4 linked regions of the Astyanax mexicanus genome follow. The protein of the gene in region 4 interacts with the protein of the main gene of each other region in a pairwise test. Links are inferred from orthologs where the notes say so. Each region holds a gene or a part of one and is shown on either strand. Other genes may lie near its edges. The genes, in order: kif5aa, smc4, smc2 and traf3ip1.

Evidence for each region.
Region 1: the proteins of traf3ip1 (region 4) and kif5aa interact in a two-hybrid assay, tested with the Homo sapiens proteins (2 studies listed by IntAct). The link is inferred for Astyanax mexicanus from reciprocal best matches to the Homo sapiens genes TRAF3IP1 and KIF5A.
Region 2: the proteins of traf3ip1 (region 4) and smc4 interact in a two-hybrid assay, tested with the Homo sapiens proteins (2 studies listed by BioGRID and IntAct). The link is inferred for Astyanax mexicanus from reciprocal best matches to the Homo sapiens genes TRAF3IP1 and SMC4.
Region 3: the proteins of traf3ip1 (region 4) and smc2 interact in a two-hybrid assay, tested with the Homo sapiens proteins (2 studies listed by BioGRID and IntAct). The link is inferred for Astyanax mexicanus from reciprocal best matches to the Homo sapiens genes TRAF3IP1 and SMC2.

What each region holds. Positions count from the first base shown.
Region 1 is NC_064419.1:9,770,960-9,777,903, reverse strand, and holds the start of kif5aa (kinesin family member 5Aa), read left to right. Parts: upstream 1-3,916; 5' UTR 3,917-4,130; intron 4,131-4,260; 5' UTR 4,261-4,299; coding exon 4,300-4,428; intron 4,429-6,944. UniProt on the Homo sapiens protein: Microtubule-dependent motor required for slow axonal transport of neurofilament proteins (NFH, NFM and NFL). Can induce formation of neurite-like membrane protrusions in non-neuronal cells in a ZFYVE27-dependent manner.
Region 2 is NC_064411.1:42,058,538-42,065,439, reverse strand, and holds the start of smc4 (structural maintenance of chromosomes protein 4), read left to right. Parts: upstream 1-3,891; 5' UTR 3,892-4,064; intron 4,065-6,278; 5' UTR 6,279-6,291; coding exon 6,292-6,436; intron 6,437-6,902. Other genes in the region: ift80 (intraflagellar transport protein 80 homolog), read right to left, coding at 1-91, 1,434-1,468. UniProt on the Homo sapiens protein: Central component of the condensin complex, a complex required for conversion of interphase chromatin into mitotic-like condense chromosomes.
Region 3 is NC_064432.1:23,820,825-23,828,043, reverse strand, and holds the start of smc2 (structural maintenance of chromosomes protein 2), read right to left. Parts: upstream 3,012-7,219; 5' UTR 2,814-3,011; coding exon 2,646-2,813; intron 1,876-2,645; coding exon 1,726-1,875; intron 1,623-1,725; coding exon 1,500-1,622; intron 1,400-1,499; coding exon 1,361-1,399; intron 1,048-1,360; coding exon 937-1,047; intron 832-936; coding exon 787-831; intron 1-786. Other genes in the region: exoc1l (exocyst complex component 1-like), read right to left, coding at 4,568-4,831, 5,855-6,018, 6,253-6,373. UniProt on the Homo sapiens protein: Central component of the condensin complex, a complex required for conversion of interphase chromatin into mitotic-like condense chromosomes.
Region 4 is NC_064418.1:38,618,466-38,626,154, forward strand, and holds the start of traf3ip1 (TRAF3-interacting protein 1), read left to right. Parts: upstream 1-4,672; 5' UTR 4,673-4,831; coding exon 4,832-4,954; intron 4,955-7,689. Other genes in the region: agr1 (anterior gradient 1), read right to left, coding at 863-961, 1,974-2,049.

The sequences.
Region 1 (6,944 bases), on a different chromosome or scaffold from region 4:
GATCGCATTTTGAAAAACTGAATTAGTGAGGTCAGAATGTTGTATGATTTCACCTCCTCCCAAATGTTGGAGGTAGCACCATCATCATTCCAGAGGTTTTTATCCCTCTAGCCCAGATCTGCCTAAAACTTTTTTCTCTGTTCTAGAGAGTCCATTTCTATTGGCAATGATTCTTTGCAGGTAATAGACAAGCTGAGTTTATGCATTTTTTTGCATTTTGTATGTGTCAGAAGTGGTAGAAATGGACAGTCCTTAAGTTTTAGAGTGCATTCAAAAAAGTACCCTTTACGTACGTTTTAACCCTTTCAAACCATGTGTTCATTGCAAAGGAAAACATCTGTCTTCTTCTTTTATGTATTCTTGCAGACAGATTGAGACCTATTATGCATCAGAACAGACATACATCAGCCAAACAGCAGTTTAGCCCTGCCACGGCAATGGAAAAGTAAAAGTCTGCACAGTAAAGCGCTAAATATGGCAGAGTAACACTGATTTTATGAGTTTAGAAATGCTTATGAATGATTGTGAAAAACTTTTATATAAAGGAGTTATATAAAAATTATATGGAGTAAAAATAACAGTGCTAAACAAATTTCACACTTCACTGCAATAAACAGAAAATACATTTATTTTTTTATTTGCTGAACCTTTTTTGGAGTGCATCATAGACAGAAAAGTGGATTATTATTCAATATTTTTTCATCACTGGAGAATACATCAATGTCTGGGGATTTTAGTGACAGCTATGTTGAGCTCTTTTTTTACTTTGTCAGCCCTTATCAGTTCTCTAATTCTGTGTTTTATTGTTTTATGATTTGTAAATGAGCAGATGAAAACTGAATTTGCCTTTCGGATGTCAGCCTACAGTAGTTAGGCTCCACCCATTTACGCTGAATTTTTAAGGAGGGTTTCTACATTTACTGAGCCATTCAGAATAGAGATTATTTATCTATAGCATTATTAAAGTGATTTTGTGTTTTAATCAGAAAAACTAATATTATCAAGTTGCAAGAACTTACCAGCCAGTAAAGCTCAATAAAATGAGTTCAGAGAACTTTAACCTGAAAACTTAAAAATGCTTGTTGAGCCAAAGAAATTAAATAATTGTTGTGTGAACAAAAATCTGTTAAGTTGAATAAACTTAAAATTGTATATATTTACGACTTAATGGAGTCAATGCAAAAGGATGAATTGACTGAGTTAAGTTGAGCCATTTTTTTTTCCTGTACAGTAACAAAGAACTTCTGATAAATGGAATTGCAACTGTTTTTGGGACCTACACACATGCAAATAATAGTAAATGAAATGATATGTGGAATATGCCCCGTCTAATTCATATAATCCTAATTATTTTGTATATCTATCAATTCTTCCGGTGTATTCTTGATAATGATGTTTGAAGCTACTGGATACAATTAAGTATCTATGTACCTACCTACCTACCTGTCCATCTGTCTGCTGTCTGTTTGATGTTTACAGGGCATTAAAAGAACCAGACATTTACACCAATTTTCTGTATCCATAAGACAGTGTGCTGCTGATATACTTGTATTAAAGTCTAATCAATACCAAACGTCCACTTTAGAACCGTTTAAAGAACTGAAAGTCTGAGAAAGTAAGAATCAGGGGTATAATCTCAATGACCCCATAGACCCCTTGCCCCTAATTAGACAAAGTGACTGCATCAGATCTGCATGTTCATAGGCTGTACACATTCTATCTGCATTAAATATCAAGAACATTTTAAAACATTACCAGATTGTTTTGTGTTGTGAAACAATGTGCTTTGTCATTGCTGTAGAACTGCAGAATCAGGGTCTTTTAACGAGAACTTCAGCGCTGGGTATTTATGTTGTTTTCTTTCCCACCCGTATTCAGACCGGCTTTGCCTCGTGTGCTGGGATTGGCTAGAATTCTAGACGGAAAGCCAATCACAGCGCAGGACACAACGTGGAAATGAATAGGGCAGTAGTAACTGTATTTTTTCAGTTTTCTACAAATAATGTACAGATTTTAAGAGATTACCCAAAACATAAAAAAGCCAAATAACTGTAGTGAAACCACTGCTTTCTAACAAAAAAAATAAAAAATAAAAATAAAAATGCTAAATAACTGTAGTGAAAACACTGCTTTCTAACAAAAATAAAAATGCAGTAGAACTGTAGTGAAAACACTGCTTTCTAACAAAAATAAAATGCTAAATAACTCTAGTGAAAACACTGCTTTCTAACAAAAAATGTTAAATAATTGTAATAAAACCACTTCTTTCTAACAAAAACAAAAATGCTGATTAACTGCAGTGAAACCATTGCTGTCTAACAACAAATAAAAATGCGGTAAAACTGTGGTGAAAACACTGTTTTCTAACAAAAATAAATAAAAATGCTAAATAACTGTAGTGATACCACTGCTTTCTAAGAAATAATAAAAATGCTGAATAACTGTAGTGATACCACTGCTTTCTAAGAAATAATAAAAATGCTGAATAATTGTAGTGAAACCACTGCTTTCTAATAAAATAGACAAAAAAAAATGCTGAATAACTGTAGTGAAACTGTTGCACCTTAGCCTGTGTCTGTCTTGAATTATTTCCTCTTTTGGTTCCATGTGCTTCTGTCCTCTGTTTTTCTGTTTTGTTATTGTCCTTTCTCAGCCCTAGCCCCGTCCTAGCCATTTGATCCCAGTGTTATTGTTTTGAATAGTCTTTGTACTTGTCTAACTAAATAGTTATCCCAGTGTTGTTTATTGTGTTTTTGCATTTCCGGTGTTTTCTGTTTTGCTTTTGTTTATCTTGCTTGATTTTATTTCATTTAATTGATATTATCTGCATTTATGTCCATCCTCTCATCCTTCTGTTTGTGACTTATTTAACAAAAAAATAACGCTGAACAACTGTAGTAAAACCACTGCTTTATAATAAAAAATACAACAAATAAAAATGCTGAACTATAATAAAACTACTACTTTCTAACAAAAAATAGAAAAATGCTGAATAACTGTAGTGAAACAACTGCTCTCTAACCAAAATTAAATTGCTAAATAACTAGTGAAACCACTGATTTCTAACAAAAATAAAAACACTGAATAACTAGTGAAACCACTGCTTTCTAATAAAAAATAAAAATGCTGAATAACTGTACGGAAACACCTGCTTTCGAATAAAAAATAAAAATGCTGAATAACTATATGTAAACCCCTACTTTCTAATAAAAAATAAAAACTCTGAATAACTGTAGGGAAACCCCTGCTTTCTAATAAAAAATAAAAATGCTAATTAACTGTAATGAAACCACTGCTTTCTAATAAAAAAAATACAACAAATAAAAATCCTGAACAACTGTAGTAAAACCACTGCTTTCTTACAAAAAAAATGCTGAATAACTGTAGTGAAACCACTGCTTTTTAACAAAAATAAAAATGCAAAATAACTAGCATTTTTAAACCAAAAAATTTTCTAACAAAAATAAAAACTCTGAATAACTGTAGTGGAATCACTGCTTTCTAACAACAAAATACAAAAAAATAAAAATGCTGAATAACTGTGGTAAAACCACTGCTTGATAACAAAAAAAGAACAAATCAAAATTCAGAATAACTTTAGTGAAACCACTTCTTTCTAATAAAATATTCCAAAAATAAAAATGCTGAATAACTTTAGTGAAACCACTGCTTTCTAACAAAATATTTAAAAAACAAATTTGCAAAAAAAAAAAAATGCTGAATAACTGCAGTGAACCCCCTGCTTTCTAACAACAAATAAAAACACACAGTGGGCGCGTCATTCTTCCTCTTACGGGAAAACAGATCCTGTCAGCCTATCGCAGCGCGGGGGGCGTGGTCTGTCTGAATGCGGGTGGGGAGTGAAACACAGCTATACTAGCGCGGATGCGAGTACCGCTTTAACAGCAGCGGATAGACCACGCCCTGCCGTCCGGGAGGCTACAGGCAGCTCAGCATCCTTCGCCCTACAAGAGCTGCTTCACCTTCGCCAAGAACAACAGCGGAACAGAGCAGAGCGGGCGGGCGAACAGCGGCGGATTTACCGGGTTTTTTTTATCTTCGCAGCTCCACCTTTAATCTGCGGCTCTGCTCTCTGCATCGCAGCGGCGGATATAACATATTTACGCAACGTAAGCTTTCACTGGCAGATTTATTTATTTATTTATTATTATTAGCCTTATTTACCTTTATTTTTGTAATGCAGTCTGAATCATATATATATATATTAATAACGCGAATGTTGTTGTTTTATTATTCCAGCCCGCTTTTCTCCAGTCTCGTGCAGTCTCAGTGTGCATCATGACCGAGCCCGCCGCAGAATGCAACATCAAGGTGCTGTGCCGCTTTCGCCCTCTGAATCAGGCCGAGATCCACCGCGGAGATAAATTTCTCCCCACCTTCCAGGGGGATGACACCGTCGTGGTTGGGGTAGGGCTGCTTATCTAGCTTCTTTTTTTTTTTTTTACATAATATGATTAATTTAACCCAGAGATGTAATATATACAGTGTAACGGCTGTGAGGAAGAGGCTGGTTTACTGAACGGGAGAAATGGCGTTGGCTGAGGATGATGCTGAGGCATACTGAGGATGGGCCGTATGACGTAATCACCGCTCGTTTATCATTATTCTCCCTGCTGTAAATCGGTACCCGAGCCATTCATTTAACCTTCGTTGTGTAGAAGCTTTTTCCTCAGGCTGCGGTCAGTGGGGTGATGTAGATCCGGGTGTTTTTGTCTTTCTCTGCTTGGTTGTTTAGATGGTTGGTTAGATGCTGGGCTCTGCTGGGCTCTGCGTTAGTGTTTATTAATGTAGGCCCGTAGGCTGTTTATAGCCACGTTTCCCTCTGATCGATCAACCCAGGTTCTCCAGATCCACAGCCTAAATATCCGTTTACTGATAAAAAAAAGACCTGAAAAAGGGCAGTGATTTATTTTTGTATTTAGTTTTTCTTTTTTTTAATTATGATGATGATGTTACAGATGCTGATGCTGATATACAGGTTCATTCTACAACTGAAGGGAGGGTACTGTGGGGGTTTTGCATCTCCCCCTATAATAAATCTGATTTTTAAAAAATCAGTGTCATATAATAATTCTAATAAATTAATTGCATTCATTTTTTGCTATTAATTACTGTTAATTTATATATGTTTAGGCATTTGTATGTGTACATATATACACAATATTATCTAAATGAATCCCACCCACTCATTATTGACTATTTAATTATTTAATTATTTAAATAGTGTTTTTCAAATTTCTATCTAAATTTTTCACCAATTTAGCTGTATCTATTATACCACTCATTCAGTTGCACTCCCCCTACATGTGAACTCAGCCACCACCTCTTTTTAAAATGCTGTTGATGTAGCATTACCGTGTAGCATCACAGCACACTCGGAGGAAAGCACAGTGACCCACATCTGATACATCAACTAACAGACAATGTGCTGATCCACATCACTTTGTGAGTGATGTGGAGAGAGAAAGAGAGCACTGTCTACCCACCCAGAGAGAGCAAGGATCATCAATACTGTTGATGTATGTTTTTTAGGCATTTGTATTTACATACAAAATAATAGTTAAATGAATCTCAACCACACATTATTGACCATCTCCATCTCCTGATTAATACAGTCCATTTGTTTTTTACATTAAAAAAATTGAACGCTACTAACTGCTATAAATAAGGCTGGGGCGATATGGCAAAACTATGATTTCACAGTATTTATAGACAGTTTTGAATCCATTTGATTAATCAAATAACCTTTTTAATGATAGATAGATAATTAATAGATAATTGAGCTTGTACATTTTTACATATAGAAGCTGTCAGATGAAATCTCAGTAAAGTATCTTTGCACTGTGTTTAATATAAAAGCTGCATATAAGGTTAAAGGCAGCTGCATACTTTTTGTAAAAAAAATGGATGTAAGAACTAAAAATTGTAATAGTATTCAAGAATTACCCATGTATTTGAAGAATATGGAGATCATTTTTTTTTACAATATCACTCAGCCCTTCTATACAGATAATATTGTGAAATTTACAAAAAATAGTAATAATCTCTTTAAAAAATACAAACACTTCAAAACAAGAACAATCAAGTACAAATACTTTTATTCAAAATAAAATGTATTGGATGAAATGTATTCAATTAAATTGCATAAAGTTGGGCCAGTGTTTTTTAAGCACTGTTGATATCCATGATATGCTTAAAAATATATACACAAAAATATGCACAAAAAGATCTCAAAAAATTAGAATATCATTGAGAACTATTTTACTACTTTATTTCAGTAATTCAGTTCATAATGTGAAACTCATATATATTATTCTAATTTCCTGAGACAATGATTTTTAAGTTTTCATTGGCTGTAAGTCATAATCATCAACAGTAAAATAAATAAATGCTTAAAATAGATCACTCTATGTGTAATACATATATATATATATATATATATATATATATATATAATAAAAGTTTCACATTTTCAACTGAATTCCTAAAATAAAGTAACTTTTCACACACACACATATATATTTATTTATTTATTTATTTATTTATTGCAGTAGTATATAAATAACATTCCAGCTTTGTTATCTCTGACATAAAATTGCATAAAATCTGCAAACCATTCTAATAAAGGCCTGTGACCTGCACCTAATGTCACTTTCTCTGGTTGGAAACGTATAAAATGTATGATAGTCAGAGAGATACAGCACCTGTCAAAAGAGACACACCTTCTCATTCAGTATTTTTCTTCATTTCCTTATTTATTTAAATAATTAATATTAAAACATGAAAATAATTAAGAACAATCATGAACAACCCTGTTTCATATTTAAAGAGTGATAACAGAGTTGATTAATGAGTTAAATCTTTTCATAATTGAAATGTACCTACAATTCTAGAATAAGCTATATCAAGAAATTTACATGTGG
Region 2 (6,902 bases), on a different chromosome or scaffold from region 4:
CAGATTCCACTTTAAAATCTGATGGTCTTCACTGCAGGAGAATAGTTCATCAGCTGTGGTCCAGCCCACACAGCTGACCAGTTCTGTATGTGCACATTTGTTAAGGCGATCTGTAAAAAGTTATTTTCCCCTACTGATTATTGCATCTCTTTTGGTGTACTTATTTTCATAACACACAACAGCCAGAATAAACAGGGCCAAAATAGGAACAATCATCACGGAAAGCCATGGGAACTGAACCAGCATCATCTCCCATCACTTTTGTCATGTCACATGTAAGCTAAAGAACACTGCACTGACCTGTGGGATCTGTGTTAGGGGCTTTCTGCATTATTTTTCTCTGGTTTATTTTTTCAGACGCCATTAGATCGTTACCACCTACTGTGCAGTCCACCATGGGTGGTAATTTAGTCTTCTCCTGTAAATTCCTTGTATACACGTGACACTGTGGATCAAGGTATGTTAAGTGCCAGCAGAACTTTGAAAATGTAATGTTTGTATTTGGAGTTTTTCCTTAGTTTTGACTCAATTTTGTATTTCAGCGCATCCCTACTCACAAGATAACACTTCTGAGTGTTACCAATCGGTCCCCTGAGGGAACATTTCTTTATTAATTTGCATACTGCTATCCCAATACTTTTGGTATGTCAGTGTTCAATAACAGTCAAAAGTTTGAACACACATTCTCAGCCCATGTTTTCTTTATTTAATTTATTGTACTACATTGTAGATTAATATTAAAGACATAAAAATAAGGGACAAAAATGAATGGAACTGTGTAGTAAAACAAAAAAAGAAATTTGTACTCCACCACCCCTGACCTAAACCTGATCAACGGAGTTGGTGATTTGGGATGAGCTAAGTTAGAGCTTCACAGCATAAAGGAAAAGCAGCAGCTATTGTTCAGCACCTCCAGGAACTCCTTTAAGATGTTGAGAAAAATATTCCAGGTGACTCTACCTCATGAAGACACTTAGATTGAAATACCAACAGTGTGCAGGTCTGTGTGCAGGGAAATTCTGGAACACTTTTTGTAACAAAATAAATAAAGCTTTAATGTCTTCAATATAATATTTGTAATTAACAAATCGTAAAAAGAAAGAAAAAAACATATTGAGTGAGAAGAGGTATATCCAAATTTTGACTGGTACTGTAGGTCCTGGCCAAATAATGAAACAGACAGCACCCCTATTATCATTGGTGTTCTTATTATTAATATCAAGCAGTAACGGTTATGATTATTGGCATGTCTTGTGTTTTGTTAACATGGCATTTGTAAACATTTCGTGATCTGTAATGTTTAAGTTACTTGTTTAGAAAATGTTGATTAGAGGAAAATATCCTTTGTTAGGCTACCGTTAAATTATAATACATCTGGGAACTCCGCAGCTGGTTAGCTGGTTAATACAGAGTTAAATCACGAAAGGATATGTTTCGGTTCCTTTAACAGAGAGAGCTTGAATCTCATGTTCTCCTTCAGCGTAGGTGTAGCATAAAATCAAAATCCTGTGGAGAGTCAGGACAGACATAGAAGAGGATGAATTCCACATAATTAGCTACAGAAATATTACATATTTCGACTCATGACAACAGTCATTCGTTGCTAAATAACTTACATAAATGGATGAAATGTGGTCCAACAGCTTCGTCCACCGTCTTCAACAACGTCTGTGATACGAAAACATCTCAAATGTGTCTCTTTAACACAAAAAAACAGCGTAGCTTCAAAAGGCGGCGAAGTAACGTTATGGAAATCCTTCCTCCCTCTGAGCTAAACCTCGTTGCTACGGGTAACGCGTTGACTGCCTGTCTACTAGCTCAAGCTAAAGCTAACTGTATGAAACCAACGGCTGTTTTAACAAAAAATGAAGTCGTAAAAACTAACAGAGCTCTTTCTAAAACAGAGAATAGACTGTATGCTTACGTCTCTGATAAAGCTAGCTAACTCAGTGCACATTCCTCAGAGTTCTAACGTGTTTTGTTTCTGTTTTTCAGGTTGCCCAGTGCAGCGCTACCCGAGAAGCTTCTCCAGAGCCATACTCTCGCGATATTTCACAATGAGAGCTCGTCTGGCTACACTCAGACACATTTTATAGAAATAAGACTGACCAAATGTCTCTTTTTTATCAGACACGCCCCCTTATGGCATCTAAAAATGCGTCTGATATTTCTACATTTTGTAAAATGTCTGGGATATTGATTTTATTGAAGCCCCGCCTTCCTGCATCCACGATTGGTCTATTTTTCTGCTTTCCCATCAACCATTGGTCAAAGCACTGCCCATCACAACCTAAAAATGCTTTCAACAGAAGTGTTAATAACCACAAATAAGTTCTACATTAGAAAAGTTTAAATTCTAAATCAATAATAATTACAACCTGTAAGGCACACCATGAGAACTCAATAGTATCCCTCATTTTTTTCACATTATTATTTCTTGTGAGACTCGAGTTTATATGAGATTTATTGTTCATATGGACTATTATTATAAGTCAAAGGAGAATTAAATATTTAAAACATTGCCTGCACTCTGCTAAAACCCCAGACAAGACTATATATACACATATATACACAAAGTATTTGCCCCCTTACATATTTCTTTTGTTTTTGTTTTTTTGTCAAACTGATATTTTTCTGATTATCAAACAAACTTTAATATCAGGCAAATATAACCTAGTAAATATGAAAAGCACTTTTATTTATTTATTAAAAGAAAAAAAACTATCCAAACCAATGTAGCCCTGTGTGAAAAAGTGTTTTCCCCCATAAACCTAATAACTTGGTTGTGTCAGCTGGCAGCAACAACTGCAACCAAGCTTTACTGATACCTGGCAATGAGTCTTTTACATCTCTGTGGAGGATTTTGGTCTACTCTTCTTTGCCCACTCTTCTATGCAGTTGTTTTAATTCAGCCACTTTGAAGGGTTTTCAAGCATAAATAGCTTGTTTAAATCAGACTTTGACTAGGCCACTCCAAAACCTTTATTTAGTTTGTTTAAGCCATTCAGGGGTGGACTTGTTTGTCTGTTTGGGTCATTGTCCTGCTGCAGAAGCCAAGTATGCCTGAGCTTAAGGTCACAAGCAGGTGGCCGGATTTTCTTCTTCAGGATTGTCTGGTGATTGGTTTGGATAGTTTTTTCCATTATAAATTAAATTATAATTTAGAAAGTGTTTTTTTATTTACTTAGGTTATGTATGTCTGATATAAAAGGGGAAAATACTTTTTCATACCACTGAATATATAAATATATTTATTTACTTTTTTATTTATATTTTATGTACGCCATGTACAAAAAGTACCAAATGTATTTCAATTGCTATCATATTATTTTGAGAACGTAAGTAATTACTTTTTCAAAATAATAAATTAGTATCTTAAAAAAAATTAACAAGTAATTAAACAGATTACATGCTATAATGATAGATGATGCTGAAACATTTAAGTTAGTGTATCTTTTTTAAAATCAAAATTGCTATCTACTTGCCTGCCAAGTATATATTAAATATCTTACTTAAAAAAAGACTTTCTCTATTTTTATTTCACATTTTGTAAGCACTGATATTCAGACTATAATATCTAAAATCAGGTTTATATAACCGCCCTCTCCGTCCACCGTGGTGGTGAGTTTTCCTCAAGATCCTCTGGACTAAACCAATAGCTCAGACTCGGCACATGCGTTGTGTGATACATTTCTGCTGTTCACAACACAGTTTATTGCTCAAATCCCTTAATATTTTGGGTAATGTAAAAAAAACAGAACTAAATCACGTTTTTAATGAGTTTAAAGACGGTATTAGCTGTACAGCTGAACATCTGAACACGACAATTGGCACAGTCCGCACTTTTCTGTTTGAATTTGGGCACTGAAGTCGGCGCAGGCTCCCATGATGCCTTGCGCGGGTTTGTAACGAATTTAGGCGCCATTTTCAAGTTGGATTTTCCTCATCACAGCGAAAATAAACGGGCTCGGATTTATGCTATTTTTATATTTAAAAATTACAAACGCGTTTTTAGGCAGTCGACACGTTTGGGTTACATAGGAGAGCGTTTTCAAACCTGAGAGGTAAGCGGTTTTAATTTAGTCACGGAGCTTGTTAGAGAGGCAGTATTGTTTTCAGCAGCTATTAGGGGGAATATCACTGACTGACGGCAGACTGATTTTAATGTAAAGCTGGAAGTAGACTATTAACTGCATTTTTATAGTATACACGTGCAAATAGTCAACCGTTAAGACATAAATCAACATACAGGAACTATGTTAAAAAGTTAACTATGCTAAATAACTTTTACTTACGAGCGAAATACATTTAACTTAGTTAATGCTAGCTTAGCAAAACTAGCTAAAATAGCGTTAGTTAACTTAGCTGTCTAGTTATGTAACTGTTAACTGACAAGCTAGACTAACGCGAGCTGGCTAACGTTAGCTAGCTAGGTTAACTAACATTAATTTGGTTCAACTAGCTAGCTAGTTAGCATTCACGTTTTTTGTTATTAGGAACATGTAAGCAGAAAACAACATTTAAACATTAATCTAATAACGTTACTCCCACGCTGTGTTGTGGTTTAAGGTTTTCATTGCATTTGTTTTCTAACTAATACTTTCATTTGGATCTAACGTTATAACAATTAACTTACATTAGCTAAGCTAGGTTACTAAATGTATTTTAAATACGATTCAAAATATCGGATATATTAGCTAGGTTAGCTATATAAAACGTCGCTCTAGATAGCTTGCTACAACTCCGTAACATATCCTAACTATTTAGATTAACTAATTTAGCGTTAAGTTATTAAAAAAACAAGCTATATTTTAACCCTTGTTAATTTAAAGCTAGATTACCTAAATTAGCTTACTAGCTAGTTAACTATACACGTGTTAACCTAACACTCGGGCTCCTTACATCTAGTTAGCTAACCTTGCTAGCTAAAAGTATTGGATGGAGCACAATAATTCTTCCAGACAACACCGTTTTCCAATGCCTCACAGCTTAATGCTGGGGGGGCTTTATAGCTAGTTACGATAACTTTTTAGTTAACGTAGCTAAGCTACCATAGTGCCAGCATGTTCATGTTTATCTACCCCAGGGAGTTCAAGCTAGTTAAATTTCCTATATTGGCAGTGTTTCTCTAAAGGGACTAGACAGGCTGTGTGTGTCAAACCCACCAATGCATGTAGTTAGCTGGCGTTCATTAGATGGTGTGTACACAAAAATATTGGACATATTATGTAGGTAGGTAGGTTAACTTATCAAGCTAGCTAGTGTAGTTGTAACGTTATATACTATCTTCCTCACTCTTTATCTAGTTAGCAAACTAGCTATTATAGTCTGTCTATTTGTGACTAACTAGGATTAGTTGGCTAACTAACTACTAGTCTAAATGCAGATTGGCGCCACTAATCAATAATAAATAAAAAAATATCTAGTGTAATAATAGGTGCTTGTATAAATGTGTAATTGCACTTAAACAAGATAACGTTAGTTTTTTTTATTAGCAGAAACAAATGTAGTTCGCCTTGGCAGCATCAATTCGCCCTTTCGCGTCTCATAGCTCGTTGTTGACAGAGAGAAACGTCACCATTTTTTTTTTCATCGTCGTGCTAGTGCAGGGCAACTCTTGACGCTTTGTGTGTGTGAGCAGTGAAACTTTGGTGTTTGGTAGTTAACCTAGCTAGTTGGCCACCGTGCAAATCGTCAGCGTTAGAAAATACGTTAGAGCTTATTTTACGGATATTCGGCGGGGAAATATCAAATTAAACCAAAGCTACTTTTTAAACTAGGCTTTTTTATTATTTAAGATATTTTTAACCCATGAACAGCTATTCGCCTAACTGTTGGAGACGGTGGATGTTCACGTCAATGCTTAATTATTCTTTAAACGCTTTTTTTTTTTTGTGAATTACTAGCTAACTCGCGTTACTACAGCGTATACACGGAGGCAGGCTTGCCAACCTCTGACAACAACAAAGACAGGACAGGTCCAGCCAAGTCTATCTAGCTAACATATCGGTCTCATTCATGCTGCTGCTGGAAGTAGTCGAGGAGTTTAATGCATCGCAAAAAGACCAAGTAACCTGAATCAACGTCGTGTGGATACTCTCGATTATTTATTATTGATTTTTTGTTTTACTCTGGAGAGGAGATGGATATGAAGGAGAATGATTATGATGATCATAATGATGAGCACCGGCTACACTGGACCGAGTCACCGATTCAGGCCGGGTTGGATCTATTAAAGCTAGCCATGATTACTGACCCCTGCCCAATTTCTCCTTCAGATTTTAGCCAATCATGCCAGGAAAAACGACCAAGTCCTCCACTGCTGCTAAACGAGGAAAAGGGTCTCAGGATGACTCTGACGAGGAGATACACCAAGCCCCCACTAAAGAAGCTCGCTCGGGTGACCAAGACCTGCCACCAGCACCCAACACTAATGGTAAGAAACAAAGGATTGCTCTACTTTTTGCTCTTTGGCAACAACATATTAAGGTTGTCTTTACTCTGGGTGTCGCGTATGGTATTTTTGGACGCGTGTTTTTGTGAGTTTATAGTTATATGGTTATTTTTGTGGTTGTTATAGTTGCTTTAATATTAATATGGACGTATGCAATGTAAGCTGGTATATTTTATGTTTTTAGTTTAGTTTGAAATGATAAAGACAGGAGTCTTAGTAGTGTTGTTTTTGTTGGGACAAGTTTTAAATAATTGACCTAAAGCATTAACTTAGCTCTGCTGTCCTTATTCTACAGAAGTTTTTGTACCCCTTCTCTATGTATATCTTCTTTCTGTGTGTTTTCTAACTTGTTTTTATTTTTTTGTTTTGTTTTGAACGAAAACGTGTTAATAAAGTTTCTGTCTCCATCTTATTCGTGAACTAACAATTTAGTGTAATCTGTCTTGAT
Region 3 (7,219 bases), on a different chromosome or scaffold from region 4:
GACACAAAACAGTGAATAACTGATGCTGAATCTTTAGAGCTGATTACACGTCCATGATAATACATATAATAATAAATATCCCACCCAGACGGAACGAAAGAACAGACAGAAATTAAATTTATTGAAAAAGTATCAACATTGTAAGATGGTTTCCATTGCACGCTCGACTGATCATGTGACCCATGTAAAAGTGGGACTTATTGCTGTACCTGAGTTACTATTCATGTTCATCTATATAAGCTGTGGCTGGAGCTTTTCATTGTGACTGGTGCTGTCACACTCTAGAAGTGAAAAACGAAGCCTCGGAGAAGAGTTCCAGAGGGGTCTTAAGGCAGTTTAAACCTCTACGGTGATTCAACATGCCTTTGGCTTAGCCTGTGCGAGCGCCCTATGCAGCTACCCACATTAATTTTACTGCCTGTCCATATGTGTCCCTGACTCTGCATCACTGCAGTTTAAACTGCGAAGGCAGCAACGTTAGAAATGTAATAAAATTTACAATAAAACCTCCCATAATGTAAGACCATTTTGTGTTTAAATGCCTTGTATAACATTTTAGGATTATCAGATTAATGAAAAACATTTAAAAATATATATAAAAAAATACCAAATTAATCCAATTACATTAAATTTATGTACTTAGATTATTCAAAAGGAATTTAGTGGAAAATAAACAGACCAAACATTTCAGCTTTATGGACAAACTAATAACTGGGAATAACTGGTTTAAGAATAACTGGTTTAATATATTACTAAACTGGTAGTGCTGGGAGTGTTGTGACTGACCTCTTTCAGTTTCTCCATAGCAGGGGTTATCTCCTCTTCCAGGATCTGTGATTAAAGAAGATTTTATCCATTATATAAGCAATAAAATACTACACAAACACAAACTACACACAGTACACAAACACACACGCTACACACAAACACAAGTACCGTTTGAATCTCTTTCAGTTTAGCATCTTTCTTCTCGATGGTCTTCTGAGCGCTAAGTTTCTTGCACTCATACATCCTGGTACCAGCAGCCTCCTCAATCATGGCCAGAATCTACACAAGAATATTACATTTACATAAGAATAAATTATATAACAAACCAGTTTTCAAAACCACGAACAGGGATGATTTATACTTATTTAGCAACTATTTAGCACCTGAAATGTTTTATATGATTCAATTACAATAACATAGAAACTGTTAATTCATTAAGAACAATTACATTTTTAATAAAGTAAGAAAGAAAAATGTTGTTATTTAATTTTGCAAAACAATAAATAGCAAAAAAATCCAGTATTTGGTCAAATGTTTCTTGGCCCAATTAACCAGTGTTGGAAAATATTAACTCTCTCGTGGTACCACTTACCTCTGGTGGTTTCATGTTCAAAACTTTGGTGATTCGACCCTAAAAGAAAAACAACAGTTACCAAAACAGAAATATCCTGTAAATTAATAATAATTTATTCCACCAGCTATATCTTTAAAAAAAAAACATAAAAACATACCTGCATAATAAGAAAATGAGGATTGTTCACATTCAATCCAACTGAGCAGAAAAGATCCTGGACTCGCATATTATTAGCATTCACTCCATTAATGAGGTACTTATTCCTTCCACCGATAACCACCTACACACACACACACACACACACAAAGGAGGAATTAAACACCAGACTTATCACAACACGCTTCACTAATACAGATAAAGCAAAGAGAGGCCTGCAGGCTGACCTGTCTGGTGATGGTGATCTCATCGTGGGTTTCAAACCCCAGTGGGCTCTCTTTCTTGTTGGAGTTGTCAAATACAATGGACACTGTGGCTTTAGTGATTCCAGCGAGCCCATTTTTGTACACCAGGTCCTGAAGATTAGACGCTCTGACCTGCAGATATAAAAACAATAATAATTTAATTAGGCTTAGGTAAAATTAGAGCTATAATGTGTAATGAAAACCCAATACGGTCAAATATAAGGTACAGCAAAAAAACGCAAGTTTCAACAAGAAGCAAATACTTTAATAATTTAGGGATTGTTTCATCTATATATTCAATATTAGTATTATTACTATAAGCAGTAGTAGCCTAGCTAACCCTCACTATAAACTAAAACTAGCTTAGTTAGCCAAGCTAACCCTCACTATAAAATGACTAACTCAGTTAGATAACCTAGCTAACTTTCCCTATAAACTAACACTAGCTCAGTTAGCTAGCCTAGCTAATTCTCCCTACAAACTAACGCAAGCTCAGTTAACTAGCCTAACTAACTTTCCCTAACTCAGTTAGCAAACCTAGCTAACTCTCCACATAAAATTACGCTAGTTCAGTTAGCAAACCTAGCTAACTCTCCACATAAAATGACGCTAGCTCAGTTAGCTAACTGTACCTACAAACTAACGCTAGCTCAGTTAGCTAATTCAATAGAAACTAACGATAGCTCATTAAGCCAACCCAGCTAACTCACTAAACAAAATAACACCGCCTCAGTTAGCCTAGCCTAGCTAACTCTCCCTATAAACTAAAGCTAGCACAGTTAGCTACCCTAGCTAACTCTCCGTATAAACTAATGCTGGCTCAGTTAGCTAGCCTTGCTAAGTCGCCATATAAACTAACGCTAGCACAGTTAGCCCAGGCTCCGTATTTAATCGGTTTTTACCTGCGATAAGTTGGAGATTCCGAGCAGAAAACAGATGGAGTCTAGAATGTTGGACTTGCCGCTGCCGTTCAGTCCGGTAATCGCGTTAAACAGCGGGTCGAAGCCGGAGATCTCAGTCCGCTCCGCGTAGGACTTGAAGCCCTCCAGCACTATAGACTTTATATACATCTCTCCTGTAAAGTCCGCGCTACCCCGCTGTACTGCTCACTGCGCGCCCCGATACTCTATACTCTATAACTGACGCTCTACAGTAACTGATAGATAATCGATAGATAATCGATAGTAACAGACAGCAGCAGCAGCGCTGATCTATAACCGCCGGAAAGCTTCAAATGTTGAATTTGGCGCCAGACCGCCCCCCCGCTCTTCCTCTGCTGCGCTCTGTGAGTGATATATCCGGAGTGTGCCGCCACCTGCAGGTCGGAATCAGTTTCTCTGATTGTGCTGTTTATAGGTTTATGTTTGAGTAAAATGAACATTGTTGTTTTATTCTATAAACTACAGACAACATTTCTCCCAAATTCCAAATAAAAATTTTGTCATTTAGAGCATTTATTTGCAGAAAAAAACTCAAACAATGCAAAGAAAAGTTCATATTCATGCATATTGGCATTTTCTCCTCCACCAGTCTTACACACTGCTTTTGAACAACTTTATGCCTTTACTACTCCTGGTGCAAAAATTCAAGCAGTTTAGTTTGATTTGATGGCTTGTGATCATCCATCTTCCTCTTGATTATATTCCAGAGGTTTTCAATTTGGTAAAATCAAAGAAACTCATCATTTTTAAGTGGTCTCTTATTTTTTTTCCAGAGCTGTACATAGATGCCTCATTACAGGCTGGAGCGTAATCCAGCATCGTCACCTTAATAATAATATAAATTGATAATACAACTTTTAATTTTATGTTATGTTATGACACTAGTTGTCAGACTTTAAAAAGGTATTATTTTATTTATTGTTAGATTGTATTATTATTATTATTATTATTATTATTATTATTATTATTATAATTATTACAGTTTGTATTAAATGAATTTCAGATCCTCAAAGCCGGGCCATGCATACATGAAGTAAATACACAAAGTAAACAAAAAAACAAGTTTTATTGTTCATTTGAAATATGAACAATACATAAATACACACTTTATTTATATATATGCATAAAGGCGTACAGTACATTTATTTATACACTTATTAATATGCCATACCATAGGTCTGTCTTTGTTAGAGAGCATAATACAACGTATTTCAGCATGAAAGCACATATTTGTAATGATAGCTGATTATTATAGCTTTATTAAACACCTTCCTCAGTACTTATAAATGCACTGGGGGCGGCCGCGCTGAACTTCAGCTCCAATAGACGGCCTTAGTTGATGAGGCGTCTATGCATATTATGTTTTTGCTAAGGTGCATAGCCCCTAATGTAACATTTTGTTAAAAAAAATGACCACAACTTATTAAGGCATGGGAATTATATGATAATGCATTGGAACAAGATATATAAGACATGGGAACAAGATAATTAAGGAGACTTCATGACTATACTGTATTAATGAAGGGAATTAAAGGCAGTTATTATGAAAATAATACTCATGACAAATGGATTGTTACAATAAAATATAAAAACACAATATTCAAACATTCATCAAGCATTTACAAGTATTATTTACTTTATTTGTAGCTTTTAAAACACTGCAAATAATAAGGTTATTCTGTCTACAAGGTAAACATAATAAAATCAATTGTACATAAAAAATGTTAACAGTGATATAAATGAAAATCAACTTATTTGTAAAAAAAAAAGAGATTTGAAATAGGATGAAATGACTGTCAGCTGCAGTGAGGTGTTCAGTGTTTACCTGAGTGTGAGATGTTAGAACAGCTGCAGGTGATTCAGAAATACTGTTAATAGTGAGACTAAACAGGTACGGGACACAGCGTGAGACACACCAGGTTAAAGGCGTAGAAGCAGATCCTCATCAGGACCATGCAGTCGCCTCTGCTGGAGTAGATGGAGGTGGGCTGGACGTAGGTCCAGTCGAAGTTGTGGATGCGGAGCTCGCTGTGCTGATGGGTCTCACTGAGAGCCAGGAGGCATCGGGCCAGGGAATACTTCGCCGCACAGTTCACCGCTTTCACCGGACGCACTGTATCAAAGTGCATCAGGAAACAGGGATCGTCCTGCCGGAGGAAACAGAGAGATCATACAGTGAAGGATGTGAATTTAAATGCAGTTTTAATTTAACTGCCCTTCAGACACCATCAATCATGCTATACCAATACGGCTTCCCTGCCCTCTCAGCCAATCAGTGAGCTCACTGTGCTGCAGGGCTTTAATCCATACAGTTTTCAAATGCTGTATTTAAGTTTAAAGCTGTATGAACATTCCTGACTATACACTATTTGATACTGTCTGTGTTTGAAATATTTACAGTGGATTTGTTTTACAGTGGCTTGCGAAAGTATTCATACCCTTTTACACTTACACTTTTCCACATTTCTTCACCTTACAACCACAAACTTAAATTAAATGTATTTTATTGAGATTTTAACTGATTTTAAGACAAACACAAAGTGGAATGAAAAAATGATACATGATTATAAAAAAAGTATGATGCAAAAGTATCCAGCCCTCTTTACTCTAAAACCCCTAAATACAATCCAGCGCAACAGAGTCAATTAATTAGTTAAGAGAGTACAGCTGTGTGTAACTGAGGCCTCAGTGGTTTGTTAGAGAACAAGAGTGAACAAACAGTATCATGAAGACCAAGGAACTCACCAGACAGGTCAGAAAATAAAGTTGTGGAGAAGAAATTTAAAGCAGGTTTAGCTTACAAAAACATATCTCAAGCTTTGAACATCCCAATGAGCACTGTACAATTCATCATCCAAAAATAGAAAATGTATTATTGTGCAACATTTTGTGTTTGTCTATCACTTGTCAAATCGCAATAAAATACATTTAAGTTTGTGGTTGTGAGGTGACAAAATGTGGAAAGGTTCAAGGGGTATGAATACTATTTCAAGCCACTGTATCTGGGAGATACAGGAAGGTGGGGAAATATAATTATTATAATAAGACACATACAGTGGGGAAAAAGACATATTTGATACGCTGCTGAATTTGCAAGTTTCCCACCAACCAAGAATACAGGGGTCTGTAATGGTGTAGCTGCTGATGAATCAGTGCTGGCATTAACTCACTATATCAGGATCTCGTCCATCCAGAACCCTCAGTTCCTGCAGAGCCCAGACCTCCGTCTTTACATAGCTGTCCTCCAATCCTATTCGCTGAGCTTTCTTATACCCAGACTTCTGAGATTTCCTACAGCGAACCACTGTGATCTGCACCTCCTTACCTTTAGATACTGCACACACACACACACATAATACACAAACATATATACATATATACAATACACACACACAACATATATATGCACACACAGAACACACATATGTTGAGTTTATACAAATAGATAATTAGACTTTGGGTGATTTCTTACTATGAAGATTTACCTTATATACAAGCAGATTAAAATACTGGACTGAAAGATTTTTGTGTGATTTATGTGAAATGTGTCTGTTAGTTAGATTCTTACCGGATACACAGAGGAAATGCCGTCCTCGTTTCTTCTCTTCGATCTCGATAAACTCCACCAGTCTGTGCTCCTCCGGTCCGAACAGAACCCTCTGCATCTCCTCTTTCAGCAGAGAGGACATCTCTCAATCAGTACACCACTGATCAATATATCAGTGATCAATACACCAATGATCAGTATACCAAAATCAATTCAAATAATACATGAAGATCCAACAGATAACTGAGAAAACTAACTCTCTCTTTCCTTATCTCTATATCTCTCTCTTTCCTTCTTCCTCTCTCTCTTGCTTCTTCTCTGTCTCACCCCCCTCTATTTCCCTCTTTCTTATTTTCTGTCTTTCTCTCTTTCCTTTTCTCTATATTTCACTTTCTATATCTTTCTCTCTCTTTCCTTAACTCCTTCTTTCCATCGTCTATATCTCTCTTCTATCTCCCCCTCTCTCTCACCACTGCCTTTATTTCGCTCTCTCTTTGCTTCTCTCTATATCTCTTTTACTCTCTATCTCCCCTCATCTCTCTCTTTATCCTTCCCTTTCCCTCTCTTCCTCTCTCTCTCTCTTTATCTCTCTCTCTTTTGAAGGTATCAATAGTGATCCAAAGGGCTTTTCAGTTTAAATCTGTTATAAAGGCAATTAAAGACCAGTTGCTCTGAGACCACTCAGAGACTTTATCGACCGTAAATATTCAATTTGAGTTTGATTTAGAAATGCATAATTTATGTCTATAAAATTCATTCACATAGATGCGCACTGCATCCATCTCACACACGCACACTTATTATTCTGTAAAAAGATAATCGATATTTTCCTCTGCAGCTGTCATTAGATGTGAGCGAGCTGACGCCAGGTAAGCGGGTTTGGGTCTGTTAGGCTGCTGGTGGTGAGGGGAAGTGCTGATCCTCTGAGACTCAGCTAAAGTGCTTTCAATTTATTTAAAAGGGAAAAAGAAGAAGACACCCCCCTCCC
Region 4 (7,689 bases):
GGTTGGTTTATTGCATCTAAATGTGAACTTCTTTATGTTTTCTTACCTGTAGGACCTCTAGTTTTCTACAAGAAACAGCACCCATTGGGACACAGTCAAGTAGATATAGCATAAAAGATATATATATATATATATATATATATATATATATATATATATATATATATATATATATATATATATATATATGGGCTCTTTTTATAGCACATTTTCAAATTTGTTTGATCTACAGGACACATCATCCTAATTTAGTGCAATAAGAGTCAGTCTAGTTAAAACAAAGACAGTTTTTCTTTTACAAATTTAAATCCAAGAGTTTTTTTTCATGGCCTTACTTAAGAAAGGTTGTAAGGAGCAGTAAAGCCACTCTGCTGAAGTGCAGTGTTATACAGGAGTTTTAGTTTGGTTCTCCAGCCCCAAGACTCAAAACTTGAGCAGTATTAGCATTAGCTAGCTCTTTCGCCGTTCAGAGGTGAGTATTATCGGTCTGTAACCTGCTACCAGGTTAACCTGTCTAACCTGTAAACCACTAGCTAATAGCACCCTGGTTTACCGGAACACTTAAGGAAATCTGGAAATCTAAGCTTGCAGCAAATAAATAGAAGCTCCTTACTCACCCAAATAAACTGTATTTAGGAGAGAAATCTGTGTAGATTAACATCCAGTGCTTATTTGAATTATAGTTTTGTTACTTTGCATGGCTTAGATTTAAAGGTCTCGTCACCCAGTGGCAAGACCTGCTGAATCAGAAGGAAAACAGGGCGACACCACTGTTCATTGCTAGTGTCGCATAATGCATCTTAAAATCCAGTGCACCTTATAGTGTGGAAAAATACGTATACATATTTTGAAATGATCTTACCTCTGGAGAGAGTCTGGACTACTTTCTTTTTTCTTTGCATGGAGACGTCACAGGATAAGAAGAAGAGCAATGCGTACACACACCAGCGGCCCATGATTACTGTAAGAATCAGACAAACAGTGAGTATATTGTGCACATGTCTGTGTTAAGTGTTAAATTATCAGTATGATCAGTATGGTGGAATGTGTTTAGTTAAGTACCATACCCCTTTCACATTGCAGCCTGTAGCTATTAAAGGGATTGCTTAAAAAAAAAAGAGGAGGTGGCTGGTTGAGCAAGTGGTTGGACATGATTAACTGGTCGGTTTAAAAGGCAACTGCACTGTTTGTAGGTGTAGTTTTTCTTGAGGATGTTTTACAAATCAGGATATAATAGATTTATTGAAAAATCTTCCTGCAATTGCTAACATGAGCCTAAACACATTTTATATGACAGAACTCACACACATGCGAGTGTATTTACAGCTATGAAACTCACCAAAGAGGTCTGAATATATGGCCAACTGGTCTGTTTAACAGCTACTTTTTTAATTATAAAATATCTACACACATTTATTTGTATTAATGACATACACATTGGGCCAATACAATAAACAAAACATTTTGTAGACATAAAAAAATTGTCTGACAGAACCCACAGGTATGCAGGTATATGTATAGCTATGAAACCCACCAAACTGGTCTGAATATACAAATAACTGGTCTATTCAAAAGCTACTTTATGACCATTCCTTTATGATTTTTTTTTTACAAATCATGTTGTGGAGTAAATATTGAGAACCCTGCATGTGATTAGTTTTTTTTTTTTTAGAAATGCATGTTTAGACAGGCTGGTAAAAGCATTAGCATCTTGTTTTGATTATAATAATTGTTCATAACTTCCTCTATATCTCAATATTAGCTTACACTTATCCCAGTTGTGTGAAAATAAATTATACTGTTGTCAAAAACGAAAAAAAAAAAATCACAGATATACACTTTACACAACTTAAACAAATATGACATTTAATTTGTCACAGCCAAGCATAAACACAACACCTTTCAATTTCCCAATAATACATAATTAATTAAAAAACAATAAATACCAGTTTTTAAGTAAAAAGAAATCTTACCAAAAGTGAAACGGCTGAACCAGCTTTGCTCTTCTGCTCTGTCAGTCTGACAGTATTCATGGTGGTGCAGGTGCATTTATAGCTTAAAAGAACTCGCCAAACAGGTCTGAATACACGTACGAACACATGGCTAAACAAGACGTCCTCCTCCCAGTAGCTTTTCAATGACTCAAATTCTCACATTCATATAAACCACAATTTACAATTATTTTTTCATGTTTTGTTTACTAGCACTAATGGGAATCATGCACAGGTTACACTTGGACAAATACTGATCTCTTACTAAAGAAATACTGAAGTAAATAGAAGATGATCTGATATTTAATATGCTTAGTTTTGAGTCCCCCCCCCCCCCAAATTTTACATTTGACTGGTTTCGAAAAAGGAAAATCAAAACCCACTCTTTGACTGTAAAAGACCTTAAGGAAGATTGACTCTGACTTTGGGGTGGTAGTGCACTTTTATATTGTGACCTATATGTAGGCAAAAGAATACTTTTCTTGTGACACAAGTTTTCAAAGAAACACGTCCTGTGGATTGGTGGAGATAAAATTGGTTTTAGGCATGACCTGTAGAGATACAGCATGCAGGTTCAGAATTTCAGGAAAAGAACCTCTTTTCATAAGAAGGTGACACTATGGCACAAGGACCAGATGCTCAAATCACAGGTCAAGCTGCCTTGCCACCCATTCTCTTTTTGTCCGGGTAGGTAGATGGCACTGTCTGTGATGCTGGCTGGCACAGATGTATGTTGACTGATGTATCAGAACTAGGGATTTGGTGCTTTTTTCTAAGCTCATTGATTACCTAGTGATTCTGCATTTGAAGAAACAACGACTGGCTTCACATGTAACAGAATTAATAGTGATAGAGGACATCCTAATGTGAGAGCAGGTTCATTAGCTAAGCTAAATTGGGGGGAATAAAAGATGGAGAAAATATAAAATAAGAAAATAACACCTGTTCAGTTGTTAATCACAGGGGTGTATTGATCTTGCTTTGGAACTATACAGGGGTGATTTGTAATTAAGAATGTGTGGCTGCCTTTGTTGTGTATGTTGAAGCACAGAATTTGCTTAAACCAGTTAGAGGCCTAGAGGCTGTTATGAATTAAAGGTGTGGTTTTTTCCCTGTCTGTAGCTTTGTTCATGGGACCGGCAGATTTTTTTAGGTGTGTCAAAGAGTGAACAAGCCAGATTTTAGCACAGGCAGTGCTCTGCAATCAGTGATATTGTGAATTGGCTCATTGGAATTGGATCTATTTCATAACCTGTAACTATTATTTCACTTTCACTGTTGTAACACTTACTTTGATTGCAATAATAATGTGCCTTTTTGCATTTATAGTTATAGCAAGCCCACAGCCCTGTAATTAGCAATCCAGAACTTGCAGCTGAGCCACCACTGGACAGCTTTTTATACTGTAGCCTAATATTAATAAATCCATCTAATGTGAAAAAATACAGCAGTTTTTCCATGGTATGATGGTATTTCATGGTACTAAATGTGCAGTGGTATATTCAATATACCACAATACTCAATAGTATCATATAAATATCAAGGACATCTTGAATTATTCAACAGTATTTTTACCATTGTAGTTTTAAACCATTGTACTATTTTGGCTAAGGCCAAGGTAGACAAAATACCATTGAAATTATTTAAAGGATTTCATGTCTATATGGGCACATGCAGAGAGATGTTTAAATTACTTATATATAAAAACTAGTTACTTTTATTCTTCTGGTAAACCTGAACAAAATGTTTTACTTAACTGGAAAATTCCGCATTTCACTCAGTCATTTTATACTTTAATTTTTAACCACATCCATTCTGCCTCTACCTGTTTTTCTTAACCTTAACTACTTTTTTCAAATCACTTTTTATTTATTTGTTTGTTTATGTTTGTTTATTATTTTATCATCAATAATATTTTATTATTGTATAATTTCATTATTAGTTAGTTAGCTTAAGTTTATTTTTTGTACTTAAAATATTACATTGAATTGTTTACATTTTCTTGTTTTTAAACCTTTCTTATACCTATTTATCTTTATCTTTGGTTTACCTTCTTATTATGTATTTCCCTAGATCTGCTATCTGGGTTTTCTGAACTCTTTTTAAAAAAGTCTTAATTTCAGTTTAATATTAATTAATAATAATGATTATTTTCGGGGTTTTTTTCCATTAGTTTTAGCTTGATTACTGTCCTCTGTTTTATTTTTTTTTTATGTAAAGAGTATAAATCCCTATTATTGGAAATTGTTGGCGGCAATGAAAATACGGGCTCACCCTCAGTGCAGCTACCTCTGAGAAAAAAATAAAGATTGACTGATTAATTGATCGTTGCAAAATTATTATTATTATTATTATTATTATTATTATTATTATTATTATTATTACTATCATTATAAGTAGTAGGAGTTCATCTATATCCCCTTTAAATATTTATATTCATATAAACATTACTCTCCATTACTCTCTATTCTGTTATAGTCAGTATATTGTGCAGTAAATGTTTTATGTTTAATTTTTTCATATGTTTAATGTATAATAAAATGTGTTTTTAGCTAAAATCCTGTATTAGCTTTAGCTAAAGTGTATCATGCTATTAAACAGGCCCGGAGTTGTTAGCCGTTGCCATGGATATTTGCCACCCCTTGACAACCACGCAGGGTGTGCGCGTGCGCATATTGGCGAAGCGGGGCATTGTGGGATTGAACGCTATTGACACAGCAACACTGAGAGCCGCTCAGTGATTGTAGCTCCTCCGTTTTTGGGGTCTTTTTGCGGTGAATTACTCAATATTTCACACGGGAGCAGCGGTAACGTCGAATAGAGGACCGTAGGGCTTTGCTATGAACGGCTCGGTGGCTAAAAAGACCCAGGAGGTTCTGGGGAGAGTGATAAAGAAGCCTCCCCTGACTGAAAAACTGCTCAGCAAACCGCCGTTCCGATACCTGCACGATATATTAAGCGAGGTGAGTCCGGAGGAGAGCTGTCTGTTCGGTTATTTACCGAGAAATTAGCTTAAACCGCTAAACATCACGTAACTATAGCTGGATAATTTAACTAGCTCACTAACGTTACTGTGTCTGGCTCTGAACTCCTCGGCTCAGTCGGTCCAGATGCGCACAGCATTACAGGCTAACTAACGGTTAGCACTCCTACTTAAGCTCTCCTGAGCTCTGCAGGGAGCTGCAGATCTGGATTAGTGCTGTAAGGTGATGTGAGGTGGTTGTTCTTCTGCTGTTTTGCACCTTTCCAAGTTTTGCTCTGGCTTCACCACCACTGTAGATTATAGCCCACCGTTATAGCCTAAAGTAACACCACCAGCTTCAGCTAACTAGCTACAAGGGCTAGTCCAAGCCCAAGTTTTTACTAGTGAAACTCAAGTTGGCTAATTAGCTAACCTAGCTCGTGACAGATCTCTGTAGCTAACTTAACGCTAAGTTAGCTAGTTAGTTTTTACTAATAGAAACTATTATTTCAGATATCATCTCTGAAATGTTTAGTTACTAGATCTGTAGATCTACAGATCTATGTGTAGCTAAACACATTCTGACTAGACACACATTACCAGTACCAAACTCGGGTCCTAACTCTCATTTTACTAGTCAAAACTCAAGTTAGCTAGCTTAAGTAGCTGCAGATCTCTGTAACCTGTGTATAGTTAGCCTAGTTTTATATATTGAAATATAATGTCTGAAAGTTTTAATAGTGATTATGTCAGATCTACAGAGCTATAGCTAAACACATTCTGACTAGTCACATCATCTACAGCTCTGGAACAAAAATGAGAGAACAGTTAAAATGATTAGTTTATTATATTTTACCGTATTGAAAATCTCTGGAATATAATCAAGAGGAAGATGGATGATCACAAGCCATCAAACCAAACTGAACTGCTTGAGTTTTTGCACCAGGATTGGCATAAAGTTATCCAAAAGCAGTGTGTAAGACTGGTGGAGAGGAACATGTCAAGATGCATGAAAACTGTGATTAAAAAACAAAATTTTGATTTCTAAATTCTTAAAAGAGCTCAGGTCCTAACTCAGTTTTTTCTATGAAAACTAAAATAACAGATCTCATTTCAGATATAAGCTCTAAGATGTTTATTATTAATAAATAATATTAGATCTACAGATCTATGTCTAAACACGTTTTGATATCTCTAATATTACCAGGACCACATATATGTAATGTAATTGTATTTTTAATCTATATTTCTTACCTATAATTACATTTGTACAAGTAAAATCTTCAGTAATAGATATCTACAATTACTTTTTTTCCCTTACAAAACAAAAATATAGTTCAAGATATCTCCACTGCCATTCTGACTAATATAGTCTAGGTCTGCATCTATGAATCAATTCTGGCTTGTATAGTTTTGACTTCTAGTAGTGTGGGTTAAGGAATTGAGGTTTATATCTCTAATATGGAAATTGTATATAGTTACAGTTTAGTTCAGTGTATTAAACTGCAATTTCTACTTCTCAAAACTACATTGTAGATGTCTGGAATGACAATTTTCAAGAGTAAAGAGAAGTTATACATAATGTAATTATGTAAACAAAAATGTATTATAGATAAGAGAGTGTATTTTAATAATGTAAATCAGTCATAATAATATGACTAGTCAAAATACATAAAGGATATGTTCTCCTGGTAATATAACTAGTGATAATAGCTTGGTCTGTAGATCTGATAGTGTTACTAGTTAATATTACATAGCTTAAATCTGAAATATGGGTTTTTATTAGTAAAAACTGCATTAAAGAGATCTTGAGTTTAGGTTTTATCTGTAAAAACTGAGTTAGGACTTGTATAGTCAAAGTCAAAGTCAAAGTGGTTTTTATTGCCAGTTCAGCTATATACAGAGTACACAGTGAAACGAAACAACGTTCCTCCAAGGACCATGGTGCACATAAACACAGTTTATGTGGGTTCATTTTAGGATAAACCAGCGTCCATAATAGATGGGTATTCTGGAAACCTACATTGTTATTGAGTTATCATTATGATGCTTTTGGGGGTTGACCTTAAGTTAATAATACTTGGTAAGTGGACCTGTATCTAATACTTCCACTGTTTCTACTGTCAGACAGTTATGTATGTCTTGGTCTGTTGTATTCAGCTTCAGATTAGAGAATGAGACACTGTCTCTCTGTTCTGTTAGTGCCTCTCTCACTGCTTCACTGTTGCCAGGCACCTTGCTTAGCTATGGTTATGCAAACAAACGAGGAAGCCTTATGGGTGCTTGTACGGTCTGCATCCGCTTACCTAGCCACAGAGGTAGACATCTACTGATGCTGGAGGAGCAATGTTGGTACCCATCACACCAGTTGTTCCCAACCCTGGCCCTGGATAACTACCACTATATTTTAGAGTTTTTTTTTTTGCTTTTTAACAAATTCAAGAGGCCATATGTGCACATATATGATTTTATTTTCATTTACATTAATGATATATGGATGACACTCTTATCCAGAGTGATTATATACCTAAATCATTTTACACAGGCAAATGTAGTGTTAGAGACATGGTTAACATATCTTTGTTTAGATGTATTTGTCCAGCTGGGGAATCTGCCACAGGAAGGGCAATTTTGTTACCCACTATGTTTGGGTTGTGGTTTCAAACTCTGGTCATGGAAGACCCCATGACGTGCATATGTAGTGTTTTTCCTACTCTAACACACTACCTTCAACTC